Linked DNA regions of Callithrix jacchus. The protein of the gene in region 1 interacts with the protein of each later gene in a pairwise test. Links are inferred from orthologs where the notes say so. Each region holds a gene or a part of one and is shown on either strand. Other genes may lie near its edges.

What was found.
Region 2: the proteins of ZGPAT (region 1) and AMOTL2 interact in binary tests that used the Homo sapiens proteins (3 or more experiments, as listed by UniProt). The two-hybrid records come from large-scale screens. The link is inferred for Callithrix jacchus from reciprocal best matches to the Homo sapiens genes ZGPAT and AMOTL2.
Region 3: the proteins of ZGPAT (region 1) and KRT15 interact in binary tests that used the Homo sapiens proteins (3 or more experiments, as listed by UniProt). The two-hybrid records come from large-scale screens. The link is inferred for Callithrix jacchus from reciprocal best matches to the Homo sapiens genes ZGPAT and KRT15.

Annotation. Positions count from the first base shown.
Region 1 is NC_133506.1:59,226,015-59,228,806, reverse strand, and holds the end of ZGPAT (zinc finger CCCH-type with G patch domain-containing protein), read right to left. Parts: intron 2,638-2,792; coding exon 2,482-2,637; intron 1,659-2,481; coding exon 1,539-1,658; intron 1,455-1,538; coding exon 1,052-1,454; intron 863-1,051; coding exon 724-862; 3' UTR 509-723; downstream 1-508. UniProt on the Homo sapiens protein: Transcription repressor that specifically binds the 5'-GGAG[GA]A[GA]A-3' consensus sequence. Represses transcription by recruiting the chromatin multiprotein complex NuRD to target promoters.
Region 2 is NC_133518.1:49,808,352-49,812,644, reverse strand, and holds the start of AMOTL2 (angiomotin-like protein 2), read right to left. Parts: upstream 2,801-4,293; 5' UTR 2,678-2,800; intron 2,419-2,677; exon of another isoform or gene 1,933-2,418; intron 1,619-1,932; exon of another isoform or gene 1,577-1,618; intron 1-1,576. UniProt on the Homo sapiens protein: Regulates the translocation of phosphorylated SRC to peripheral cell-matrix adhesion sites. Required for proper architecture of actin filaments.
Region 3 is NC_133506.1:91,737,681-91,741,966, reverse strand, and holds the start of KRT15 (keratin, type I cytoskeletal 15), read right to left. Parts: upstream 2,801-4,286; 5' UTR 2,710-2,800; coding exon 2,215-2,709; intron 1,099-2,214; coding exon 1,016-1,098; intron 894-1,015; coding exon 737-893; intron 196-736; coding exon 34-195; intron 1-33.

The sequences.
Region 1 (2,792 bases):
GCAGCCTTCAGCTGAACGCCCCATCTCATCACTTCCTGTACGTCTCCGAGCGCCTCCCCTGCAGCCTCCCACCCTGGGCAGCAGCCACCACCGCAGCCTCACCCACCTGTTGCACCCTACCCGAGGCCTAGAGGAAACGTGTGTGCCTCTAGCCTGCACTGTTGAGAGCCTAACTCACAACCCCTCCACACATGGAGAGGTGAGTAGAGCTGGCACAGAACCCACAGACCAGGTCCACCTGCCTCACCAAGAGCCCCACATGGTGGGCCACAGTCCTCCCACCCTCGCCTGCTGGAGCAGCACTGAGCTCCACCCATCTGTGGGTGTCAGGCAGCTCTGCCCATCTGTGCCTGGCAGGCAACCTGGCCTCTGATCCGCCTTGGTCAGAGAAGAGAGAACGCTGGCCTCCTAGGCCCCTGCAGCCCAGTCAGCCTCTCACCACAGCCCCGCACAGACCCTTCTCTTCCCAGAGGCCCTGCAGCCAGCTGATCTCCACTGAATGACACTGTGATGGAAAACTCTTTAATGTCCTTGCCAAGGAAATGCCCAAGACACTGGCAGACAGGCAGGTAATTGTCCAGATGGGGCCCTGCAGCCCTGTCTCCACTCAGCAGCGTCTGCATGCCCCAGGCCAGCAGGCCAGTCCTCCTTGGGCAACATGGGTTTTCCAGTGCGGAGGGCAGCCCGCGCTGGGTCCACCTTCCCCATAGTGCTTGTGGGTCTCTAGAACTCAGTCATCTTCTTGTGGGTGTCTGCCTTCCTCTGCTCCTGCTGCAGGCCCGCTTCCTGAGCCCGGAGCTGCCCCAGCTGCCGCTGGGCTCCCGCCAGCTTCTCCTGCAGCTGGGCTGACGCAACGCTATGCCTGGGGAGGGGCCCACCAGTCAGTGTGGCTCCTGGGCCACTGCCACCAATCCCAGGCTGCCGTGCCCACCACACGTCCTCCAACATCCAGACCCCTCCTGGACTCCGCCCACCACACCTGGGTCAGGTGACCTCCCGCACGTGTACTGGAGGCATGGCCACCCTGGGCTGCCCTCTGCCCCACACATACCGGCCAGCATTGCGGGCAAGGGCCTCCTGGATGCTCCTGATGTCCCGCTGGGTTCGCTCGATCTTCTCCTCGGTCTGGAAGAGCCGCAGGCTCAGGGCCCGCTTGGTGCTCTTGCTGGCACGGTACATATCCTTGCTCCTTCTCCCTGAGGGGGCCACCCCAGCCTCCAGGGCCCCAGGAGCCTGGCCTTGCAGCTTTTCATTGAGGAAGTCAAACACGTTCCGCGGGGGTAGGCGGCCCCCAGCCCTGGCCCCTCTTCTGCGGCATCTGGGGGGCTTGGTGCCAGCCTTGCCAACCCTGGTCCGCTTCTGCAGGATCTCTGCACACTGGTCCAGCGACTTCCCTCGAGGCAGCACCACGGCGTGGATGGGCTCCACCCGGCCTTCGGCGTGTCGGCCCAAACCTGAGGGGATGGTATTGCTGTGTGCTGTGGGACCCCAGCTGTGCTGCAGCCAACCCCCACCTCTCAAGGAAAGCGGGCACTCACCCTTGCCAAACTCATAGCCCATCTTGGCGAGGAGTCTGGAGCCTATGCCTCGCGTGTGTACCTCCCAGCCAGCAAAAGCAGAGCTGCAGGTCCCGGAGTCCACAGTGTCTGACCCCACCACTGCAAAAGATGGGACAGAGGGCAGTGGCTGGGCCAGGCCAGAGGACTGTGCATCGTGACTGGGGCTCTGGCCCATGAGCTTAGCTCCTGGGCAGAGCCCCAACACCCCACCTCTTGGGCTCTGCACTCTGTCACCGAGGTCTGCTGTGGGCATGTGACACCAGGCAGAGTTCGTGGCAGTCCCCATGGCCTGGTGCACCGTGGCCCTTCCTTTACAGCCCTCTCCTGCCCCTGCCCTTCTCCGCCTTTGCGGGGCCATGAGCTCCTACCTGCCCTCAGAGTCCTCGGTCAACTCCTCCTTCAATGGGAACATGGGGCTTCAGAAGTCACCAACTCACATCACTGATCCCTGGGTACACCTCCCTGTCTAATTGACCACTCTGGAGAGCTGGACACTGCCCACCAGTTCCCAGTCCCGAAACTTCCACTCTAGCTGCCCAGACACAACCTCTGTCTGCTAGGCTCCACCGGGTACCCAGGTCCCAAGTCTGAGAAGCCTTTCAAAGAAGCTGTCCCTCTTGCACTCCAGGCCCCAGCAGTTGGTCATTTCTGTAACTTCCTTGGGAACTCTAGGCCCCTCCTCCCACGGCCACGGCCTCCCATCAGTGAGGCTGTAGCTGTTGCACCCTCACACTCCTTCAAGTCAAAGGTCACAATGGATCTACCCCGGCCTTCACTCATGCTCCTGCACCCTGACCCCACACTGCCTCCCCAGGCACAGCTGCCACCTGTGCTGAGCACAGCAGCCTCGCTGTAGTCCACACTCTGCAGTGGTTGGTGACCCCACCTTCCTGCCTCTTGGGCCCTTCAGCTGCTGCCATACCTCTGGCATAGCTGGAGTCGCCCGTGCCATCGCTGTCTGAGTCGGAGGACTCTGTGGCCTCTGTGCGCAGCGGGGGAAGGACACTGTCCCCCTCAACCACGGCCTCCCTCAGCAGCAGCGAGTCAAACTTGACTGTGTAGTAGCCACTGTCCACATCTGGGGGCAGAGACAAACTGCAGGTCAGCATCCCTGACAACAGCAGGTGCCACTGCTCAGGAGCCATGCGGGACATTGGGAACAAGGCAGGGCAGAGGCTGAGGGCAGATGTGCTCATTGCTGGCACAGAGCCAGAGTCCTGACACTCAACACAA
Region 2 (4,293 bases), on another chromosome or scaffold:
GCTTACTATTCCTGGAGAAAGACATAAGAAAACCAGAAGATAATCCACCAGGAACCACTGCCTCTATAGCCACCTACCCATCAAACAGCCTGATGAGCAATTCCAAGGCAGGCCTAGTTCAGATCTAACCACTTAGCTATTCAGTCTAGGGCTGGGTGGGGACCCAGTTTATTGGCAGGTGATACAGAAGGCATGTAGTCCAGTAGAAGCCCTAGGTGAAAGTCCTCCAGGACCCCCCCCAGAATGAAGCATGCCAGAGCCCAGCCCTGGCACAGTCAACCTACTACCCTCTAGCCCACTGAACCCCTGCCCACTTTTCTCACTCTCCCAGAACCAAAGAGCTCCTGGGGGGTGGGCCTGGGCTCTGCTTCATCAAGGGCTGCTGACAGAATGAATCCAGGACTCCCTGTCATGGGATGACCTTGGCAGTCATTCTGCAAGGTGAACAGGAAGGAGGAGGAATTGCACCTGAATTTCTGAATAAGGGATGAATAAAAAGGCTCGACAATGGTTTTGTGAGATGAGGCAGAAAGTTGCCACCCATTAAGGTCAGTGGGTCAGTCTTAGAGCTGACGGTAACTGCAAGAGAGCTCCAGGAAAAAGAAAGGATGGCACGACGTCTTTTATGATTATCCTCCCCAACACACACACATGCACGCACACACGCTACTTGGAAAAGCCCTCACTGGTCCTCTAAGCAAACAGAGGATGGGCTTTCAGCATCTTTCTTGACATCAGTGTCAAGGAAGATCATCTGGACTTGGGCTTTCTCCAACACAAATCTCCAAACTGGGATCCAGGGAAAACTAAACGGACTCCATACTGCCAAACATCCTGTGTGAACAGGCAGGGGTTGGTGGGGAGTGGGAGGAATGTGGCCCCTCCTCTGCCACAAAACTAGCCCGTGTCCTGCTTCAGTTTGGGTTATGGTATGTTGGCAGAACAGCCATTCCCAATCCTTTCCCTCTCCCCACCCCGGGCTCCAGCTGCCCAGAGCTGGGGACTGGGGTATGAGTCTGGAGGGCACCTCTGTACCAATCCTTCCTGGCACCCATTCATGCGCCCCCACACACAACGAGGGGTAGATATTGCAAGACTCCGGCGCTACCCGAGGCAAAGCAAGCAAACGGGATTTAATTCGCTCTGGAGTTTTATCTCGGGGCATTTCCTTAAGATAATTACTCTCTGGCCGACTCCCACAGAGGCTGCAAGGGAGCGGCCGGAAGGAATGCGGAGCCTTCCCGACAGATTCCGGGCGCTCCACAGTGTGCGGGGACTGGGAGCAAGGAACATCTCCAAGGCCTCGCGAATTTGTCCCGGCCAAGCCCCTCAGATTCACGACCTTTCAAATACCAAACGACCGAGCCTTAACTAAAACCTGCTTCCGCGCCCCCGGCCGCGCCCCTCTGCTGCGCTAGCGCGCTGAGCTCTCTGAAGGCTGCCTGTCTAAGCCAGCGCGCGTCGGCTGCCTTGGCCTGGGCTCCAGCTCGCCTAAGGAACCAAAGTGACAGTCTCCAAGCCGGGAGACTCTCGCACCCCAGCCAGGACTCCAGCTCCACCACGACCCCGGGCGGACCTGGATCGCCGGTGGTCGCGGGTACGCCTGGGGCTAGCCGGTGAGGGTAGCCCGTGGCCCGGAGAAGTCTTTAAGCATCGCGGGTCCGCCTCCCTCCCTCTCGAGCCCTCTTTGTTTTCCAAATACTCCAGCGCTGACGTCACCGGGCTGGACAGCAGGCTGCATTCTTTCTAGGTGAGAGCCAATTCGTGTCTCCAGAGAGGATTTTCCAAGGAAGACAAAGAGGAATTCTTGGACTAGTTGGAGGCAAAGGCACCTGTAACCCCCACCTAACCAAATCAACCCGCGAGACCCTGCAAATTGAACCCCAAGCGGCGCCTCCAGGCCTGTCCCCCGTCACCCCCACCCCGGCCTACCTGCAACCCGAAACACCGTCGCCTCTATAGAGTCTGCCCTCTCCGCTCTCCCCCAGCCCCGGGGGACCGGCGCGCTGCTAGAGCCCCGCAAAGCCAGGGGCGCTGGGCTCCCAGGCGGAGCGGCCCTTGCCTGGCACTGCGGCTGCCTCGAACGGGCGCACTACGCCCGGAGTACGCTCGATCCTCCGGGCTCCGACTCCCGGAAAAGGCCGGGCTGCGCCGAGACTCCGGCTTTGGCCGGGGCACGTCTCTGTGGCCTCGCGCGCTCTCCCCAGCGCCAAGCGGCCTTCCTTACCGCTGCGGCCCGCGGGTGCCCAGCACAGTCAGACACTGCAACCCCCGGCTCGGCCCTGCTCAGCTCGGCGGCGGAGATGTATTCTCGGCAGTGGCGCCGACGCTCTGGCAGTTCGCGCCCCAGCGCGCAGCCCCAGGGTCGGTCCGCGCTGGAGGCGGCTGTTATGCCAGGAATGTGAGAGTTTCAGGTTCCCCCTCGGGATCAAAGCGAACCACAAATAACCTCTCAGCGCGCCGCCCTCCTCCGCCCTCCGCCTCCTCCAGCTCCCTCCTCCCGTCCCCCGCCTTCCTCCCGGGAGGCGGCGCTGCTGGCTGAGCGCCGGGCCGGCCCCTGAGCTCCGTTCCTCCGCACTCAGCGCCCTCCAGGCCGCAGTGTGTCCGCCCCTGCCCCCCGCTTTGCGATCGGAGCTGCTGGAGACAATTTAATACAACTCGGCCCATTATTGCTTACACCCCTAGTCGCCGACCCGCTCTCCACCCTTCATCCCGAAACCCATCGACGGAACGATACAGCAAGGGCTGTGCCACGCTTGTCCCGGGGTTGCTGCGGGAGAGGCTCCGGCTGTGCGTGTGTGTGTAAACCGGGGGAGGGGGTAAGGGAAGAAGGACCGCAAAGACGTCTATATCCTCAGGGCTGGGAGCTTGTCCCGGGAGAAGTGAATACTTCCAGCCTCCGAGCCTCTCTTTCCCCTAACCCCCAGTGCTTTCACCCCCGCGGCAACCTTTGAATTGCACTTTTGTTTACAAACACCTTCACCAGCTCTTTTACGAACCTTCTCCACAGGAAGCGTGAATCTGTGTTGGAAAATCCTGTCAATTTGATCCATCTACCCAACCGAATCTCCCGCCGCCAGGCGCTCTGTCCACCTCTTCCCCAAGATAATAGGCGCCCCTTTACGCAGAGCGCAGGGTGTGCCACCGCCGGCTTTTCTCCCAGTCAAGCGATCCAGCCTTGCCTAGCATCCTCCAACGGAGTTCTGTTATCATCCCTGTGTTATAAATGAGGACACCAGGGCTCAGAGAGCTTAAGCAGGGTGCCCAGAGTCACACAGAAAGAACCAGACAACCAACCAGGGGCTGCTTGGGTTTTCATTCTCAAAACCCCTCCGTTGCCATCAGAATCCGGGCTCCCTAGATGGACTGGGCAGACGCCAGGAACCTTCCTCTTTCCACCTGCCCGCTCCTTGTTTTAGTCTCTTCTTTACCTCCCCCTACACCCCTGCCAGCCAGCGGCCTTCCCTTGTATCCACTTCTGTGGCTCCTGCATGGAATCTTCTTCTCTGCCCCCAGGACACTTCGTCTGCTAGGTGCAAACCCCTTCTTCAGAAAGCCTTCACTGACACACCCTGTCCCAGTTCCCACTACACAGGGCCTCTCTACAAGTCAGTTGGGCTGAAGTGGGGGCAGTCAGGCCCCTGTCCACCCAGAGAGTCAGGGCTGATTTCTTCTTCCCCTGGCTGGGTCCTCCCCTCAGCATGGAGTTTGCAATTCCCAAATTCACCGGAGGGAACCAGGGACAAGGAAACTCTGGAAGCTTAATAGCCAGGGACATTGTTAATTTTTAATAAAACTCCCACAAAAAGTGTGTGTGTGTTTTACTTGGAAGCCAAATACTGTTTCAAATAGTGATTGCATCTGAGATGATTGAGCAAATGGGTCATTTGTGAAGAGGTCTCTGGGTGGCCTTACCTTATGGACAGTGTAATTGGTGGAGGAGGGGAATGGTTGTGGACATGTGTACTCTGGGTTGTAAAATCTCGGGAAAGATCACGTCTTTCAGGCATTTGGGGGGATACCTCACAACATGTTTGACAAATATTCTTGAGATGGTTGCAGAAAGGCATCAGTTCAAGGCAGCTAGAGCAAAGGGGGTACATCTTGGAGTGGACAGGCCTGCTGCAGAGCCACACAGGTCCCCATGATTGCTTATTTCTACCTCCCAAGGGGACAGAAGGGGGAGAGGGATCCCAAAACCTAAATGAGAAATGTGCATGTACTTTTCTTATTTTTCCCTTCTCTTTTTCTCTGCATGAAGAATGGAGGGCAGCATCTTCCAAGCATGGGGTG
Region 3 (4,286 bases), about 33 Mb from region 1:
GGCAGGGCAGGGCAGGGCAAGGGTCAGGCCCACCTTGCTGAAGAACCAGGCCTCAGCATCCTGGCGGTTCTTCTCCGCTATGGCCTCGTACTGCTCCCGCATCTCCGCCAGCACGCGGGTCAGGTCCACGCCCGGTGCCGCGTCCATCTCCACGTTGACCTGGCCGGCCAGCTGGTTGCTAAACTCCTTCATCTCCTGCAGGGTGGAAGGGGCCCATTTAGAGATGGAGAACAGAAGAGAGACCTGAGAGTCTGCATTCCCACATGCCAATCCTGGCTCTTCCCCTAACACCCCAACCGCTGTTCCCCATTGCACACGAAGAGGTTTGGTCTCATGGACCCCTCAGCTCCGAGGAGCTCTCTGCTGCTCTAGGTCCTACCAAGGGAGGACCCCGAGATGGCAGGCCCCTGATGTGAGCTCACAAAGCCAGTCAGGAAGATAGCCATTCATACTAGCCACCCGGCTTGGCTGTGGTCTGGGCTACTAGGGAACAGTGCCCCTTCCTCTCCATGAGGATACCTGGTTGGGGGCAAGGGGGGTGTTTCTGAACCACTAAGCCCCAGGCCAACTATGAGGAAGCACCGGCAGCCCCACTCTGCCTCCCACAACTTAATCTTGGGAAAATCTGGGAGGGCTTCCTGGAGCCAAAGTCGTTCCCTCTGGGCAATTTAAGTGCGTTTTGGGAAGAGGTTCCCCACCTCTCTCAGGTTCAGGGATGATGGGGGCCACCTCTCACCTCCTCGTGGTTCCTCTTCAGGTAGGCCAGCTCCTCATTCAGGCCCTCGATCTGCATCTCCAGGTCAGTTCTGGCCAGGGTCAGCTCATCCAGCACGCGGCGCAGGCCATTGATGTCAGCCTCCACGCCCTGGCGCAGGGCCAGCTCATTCTCATACCTGAGAGGAGAGAGGGAGGCCAAAAAAGGAAGTGGGAGGGGTCTGGGCCGCCTGAGTCAGAGCCAGGAGAAGACCAAGGAAAGTGGGCAATGCAGGAAGAGTTGAGGGAGGAGGGAGCGCACTTGAGCCTGAAGTCGTCCGCAGCCAGCCTGGCGTTGTCGATTTCCAGGATGACCCGGGAGTTGTCAATGGTGGTGGCCATGATCTGCAGGAGACAGAGTTGGTGCCTAGAGGACTCCTCTCTCTCCCCTGCTGCTCTCTGCTCTGCACCCAAAGCCAGCCCCTCACTAACAGTCACCACCAGCAAACATCTGTAGGGCCTCTGGGGTGGGCAGAGTCCAGCCTCATCTTGAGTGTCCATTTCTTGTTCTGCCACATGCCAGCCTCCTTGAGACACCTGAGGAGCTGCCCTCCTTGTCTCCAGGGCATGAAAGACCAAGGAGGCAGTACTGCCTATGGGAATTGGTAGCCCCAGAGAGTGAAGAGTGAGGTGTAGTCAGCTCTGACAATGACCCTCTCAGAGACACTCCACCAGCCCCCCCGTGGACCAAGTCATGGCCACTGCCTCCTGCACACCTTGACACAGCCATGGATCTGCAGAACATTCCAGCCAGTGGCAACCTAGAGGGCAGCTAAAGAAGGCATTTTGCCAATGAGGAACCCAGTCTCAGGGAGTAAAACGGTGAGTGAGTGGGTGGCAGAATGGGTAATGGGTTCCCAGGTCTCTGAAGCCCAACAGTACTTTTAGCACAAAAGCCCTCTTTACAGGAAAACACAAGAGGCATCTGGGACTCATGAGGCTGCACTCCAATCCTTTTCTTGCCAAAGAGATAAAGAAATACTTTATGCAGAAGCCTGCAGCGTACATGAGGTAGGCAGGGTGAGTTGCTCGTTTTAATTATTATTATTATTATTTTTTAATTAGAGACAGGTTCTCACTCTGTAGCTAGGCCAGAGTGCAATGGCACAGCCACAGCTCACTGAGACTCTAACTCCTGGGCACAAACAATCCTGTCACCTTGGCCTCCAAAGCACTGGGATTACAGGTGTGAGCCACTGCACCCGGCAAGCTGCTCTTTACAATTGCCCCCAACTGTGCCCCCGTTGGTCCTAACCAGATTCCCAAGACCCCTCCCTCCCTCCCCCAACACCAGCCTCTGCACTGGACAGCAGGTGCATTCCAAATTTGCTGAGGCTACACACCAGACAGTCGTTGCCTGGGCAGGAAAGGATTTTCTCGAGTCAGCAGCGACACTGACGTTAGAGGCATGTGCAGGGCGCCAGCCACCTGCTCCCCTCTCTTTGACATCTGAGGACTCACCTTGTCCCGGAGCTCTTCAATGGTCTTGAAGTAGTGGCTGTAGTCACGTTCTGGGCTGGTCGGGGCCTGCTTCTGGTACCAGTCCCGGATCTTCACCTCCAGGTCAGCATTGGCCTCCTCCAGGGCACGAACCTTGTCCAGGTAGGAGGCTAGGCGGTCGTTGAGGTTCTGCATGGTGATCTTCTCATTGCCAGAGAGGAGGCCACCATCGCCACCACCAAAGCCACCACCAAAACCCCCACCAATGCCACCTCCAAAGCCTCCACTGAAACCACTACCAGCCCCTCCGCCAAAGCCACTGCTCATGCCACCCCCATATGCCCCTCCTGACCCTGAAGAGACAAACCTAGCAGAAGAAGCTGAGATACTTCGGCTTCCACCTCTCCCATAGAGACTCCCCCCACCAAAGCCCCCTCCCCTCGCCAGGAGGGAACCCCCTTGGATAGAGCCACCCCCAAACATGGAGGAAGAAGTTTGCAGAAATGTGGTGGTCATGGCCAGGTAGCCAGTGCCAGTGAGTTCTCAACAAGCCCAAGAGATGCTGGCAGGAGGTGCCGGGCCAGGCTGCACTCAGAGCAGGGCATCTGCCACCCCCCAGCTGGGGCTCCTTATATACCCCTCTAAGGGTATTGTGGGACCTGGTCTCCTCCCCCAAAGCAAAGCCAACTCCTTCTGCCTTCCTGACAAACACAGCTGCCTGCACACCCTGAGTGGCTCCTGTGAAGTTTTTCTCTTCTGTTTTTTTTCTAATGCAACAAAAGAGATGATTCAGAATTAATGGTGTTTTCCCCCAGGGCACCGTTTTAACACTTGGATTACAGGTTCATCTCTCCATGCCAGAAGAGAGCAACAGGGAGCGAACGGCTACCAAGGCCTCTGCCTGTACAGAGAGCAGCTCAGGCCAACTGTGCCCTCAGCTGGACTTGTCCACTGCCCCGAGCCCTGAGCTTTTCCCCAAGGGGACAGCTCTGTGTTCTCAGTTTGGGAGTTACCACTTCCCAATCATTACGCTGTGTTATCCAACTCGAAATCCTGTGAGTGAGTGAGTGAGTGAGTGAGTGAGTGAGTGAGTGAGTGAGTGAGGAGGCCTCTGGGAATGGGAATGCAGCGTCTCTGGGGGCAAGTAGAGGACAGAAGCCAGGGTCCAGCTGAAGTGACCAGAGGAGCCAGCATTTGTCCCTTCCCTGGTGTGGGAGAGGGACTCTCCTCCTCCCACCCCTACTCCCCTCCTGCCAGCCTCCAGCCTGTGTCCCTGGCACGCTCACAAAAGCCCAGCAGGCTCAGGGTTGACAAGGGGATGATTGATGATCCCGACACCTGCCAGCTGCACGTCGCTGAACTTTTGCTCGATTCTGGGATGCGTTGGGGCAAACCTCCGCTGATAAGGCTGGGGCGAGTTCCAGGAAGCCCCTGCCTTCTCCAAGAGAGGCATGTCACTGCTTAGCAGGGCCAGATTAGCCCCCATCTGTCCTGTCAAGTGCTGGCTGGGGAGGAGCCACTGCAGAAGGCTCTATGTACCTGAGTGCTGTGGAAGGAAGGACAAGAGGCTGGCAGGCAGGCTGGAAGACACTGGAGATCTCAAAGACCAAGGCATCACTTCACACAGATGGGGGAGTTGAACACTCAGGAGAGCCCTTTTCTCTGCCACCAGCTCAGGAAAACCTTTCCAGGGACACCTGATACCTGTGGGCAATGCCACTTGGAGGTGTGGCTCGGCCCTCTGGACCTGGCCCCATGGCTTACAAAAACTCAGGACGTGGATTCCTAACCCAGGTTGCAGCATGGTGAAGTGGACAGGGCTCTGGGGCCCCTCAGGCTTGGGTTTAAATCCTGGCTCTATCAATTACTGGGGTAAGACTGTGAGGCCTGGGTTTAAATCCTGACTCTACCAATTACCGTGGTAAGACTGTGGACATTTACCTTTTTAAGTCTCAGTTTACCTGTGGCAAGGGGTGCTCCCAACTCTCACTCTCCAGGGAAGCCCGGAGGCCCAAGAGCCCCCATCCTGCCTCCTCTTGGATCCCCACCCTGGTGCCAGATATGCAGGGGCCAGGGTGCATGACCGACACCTG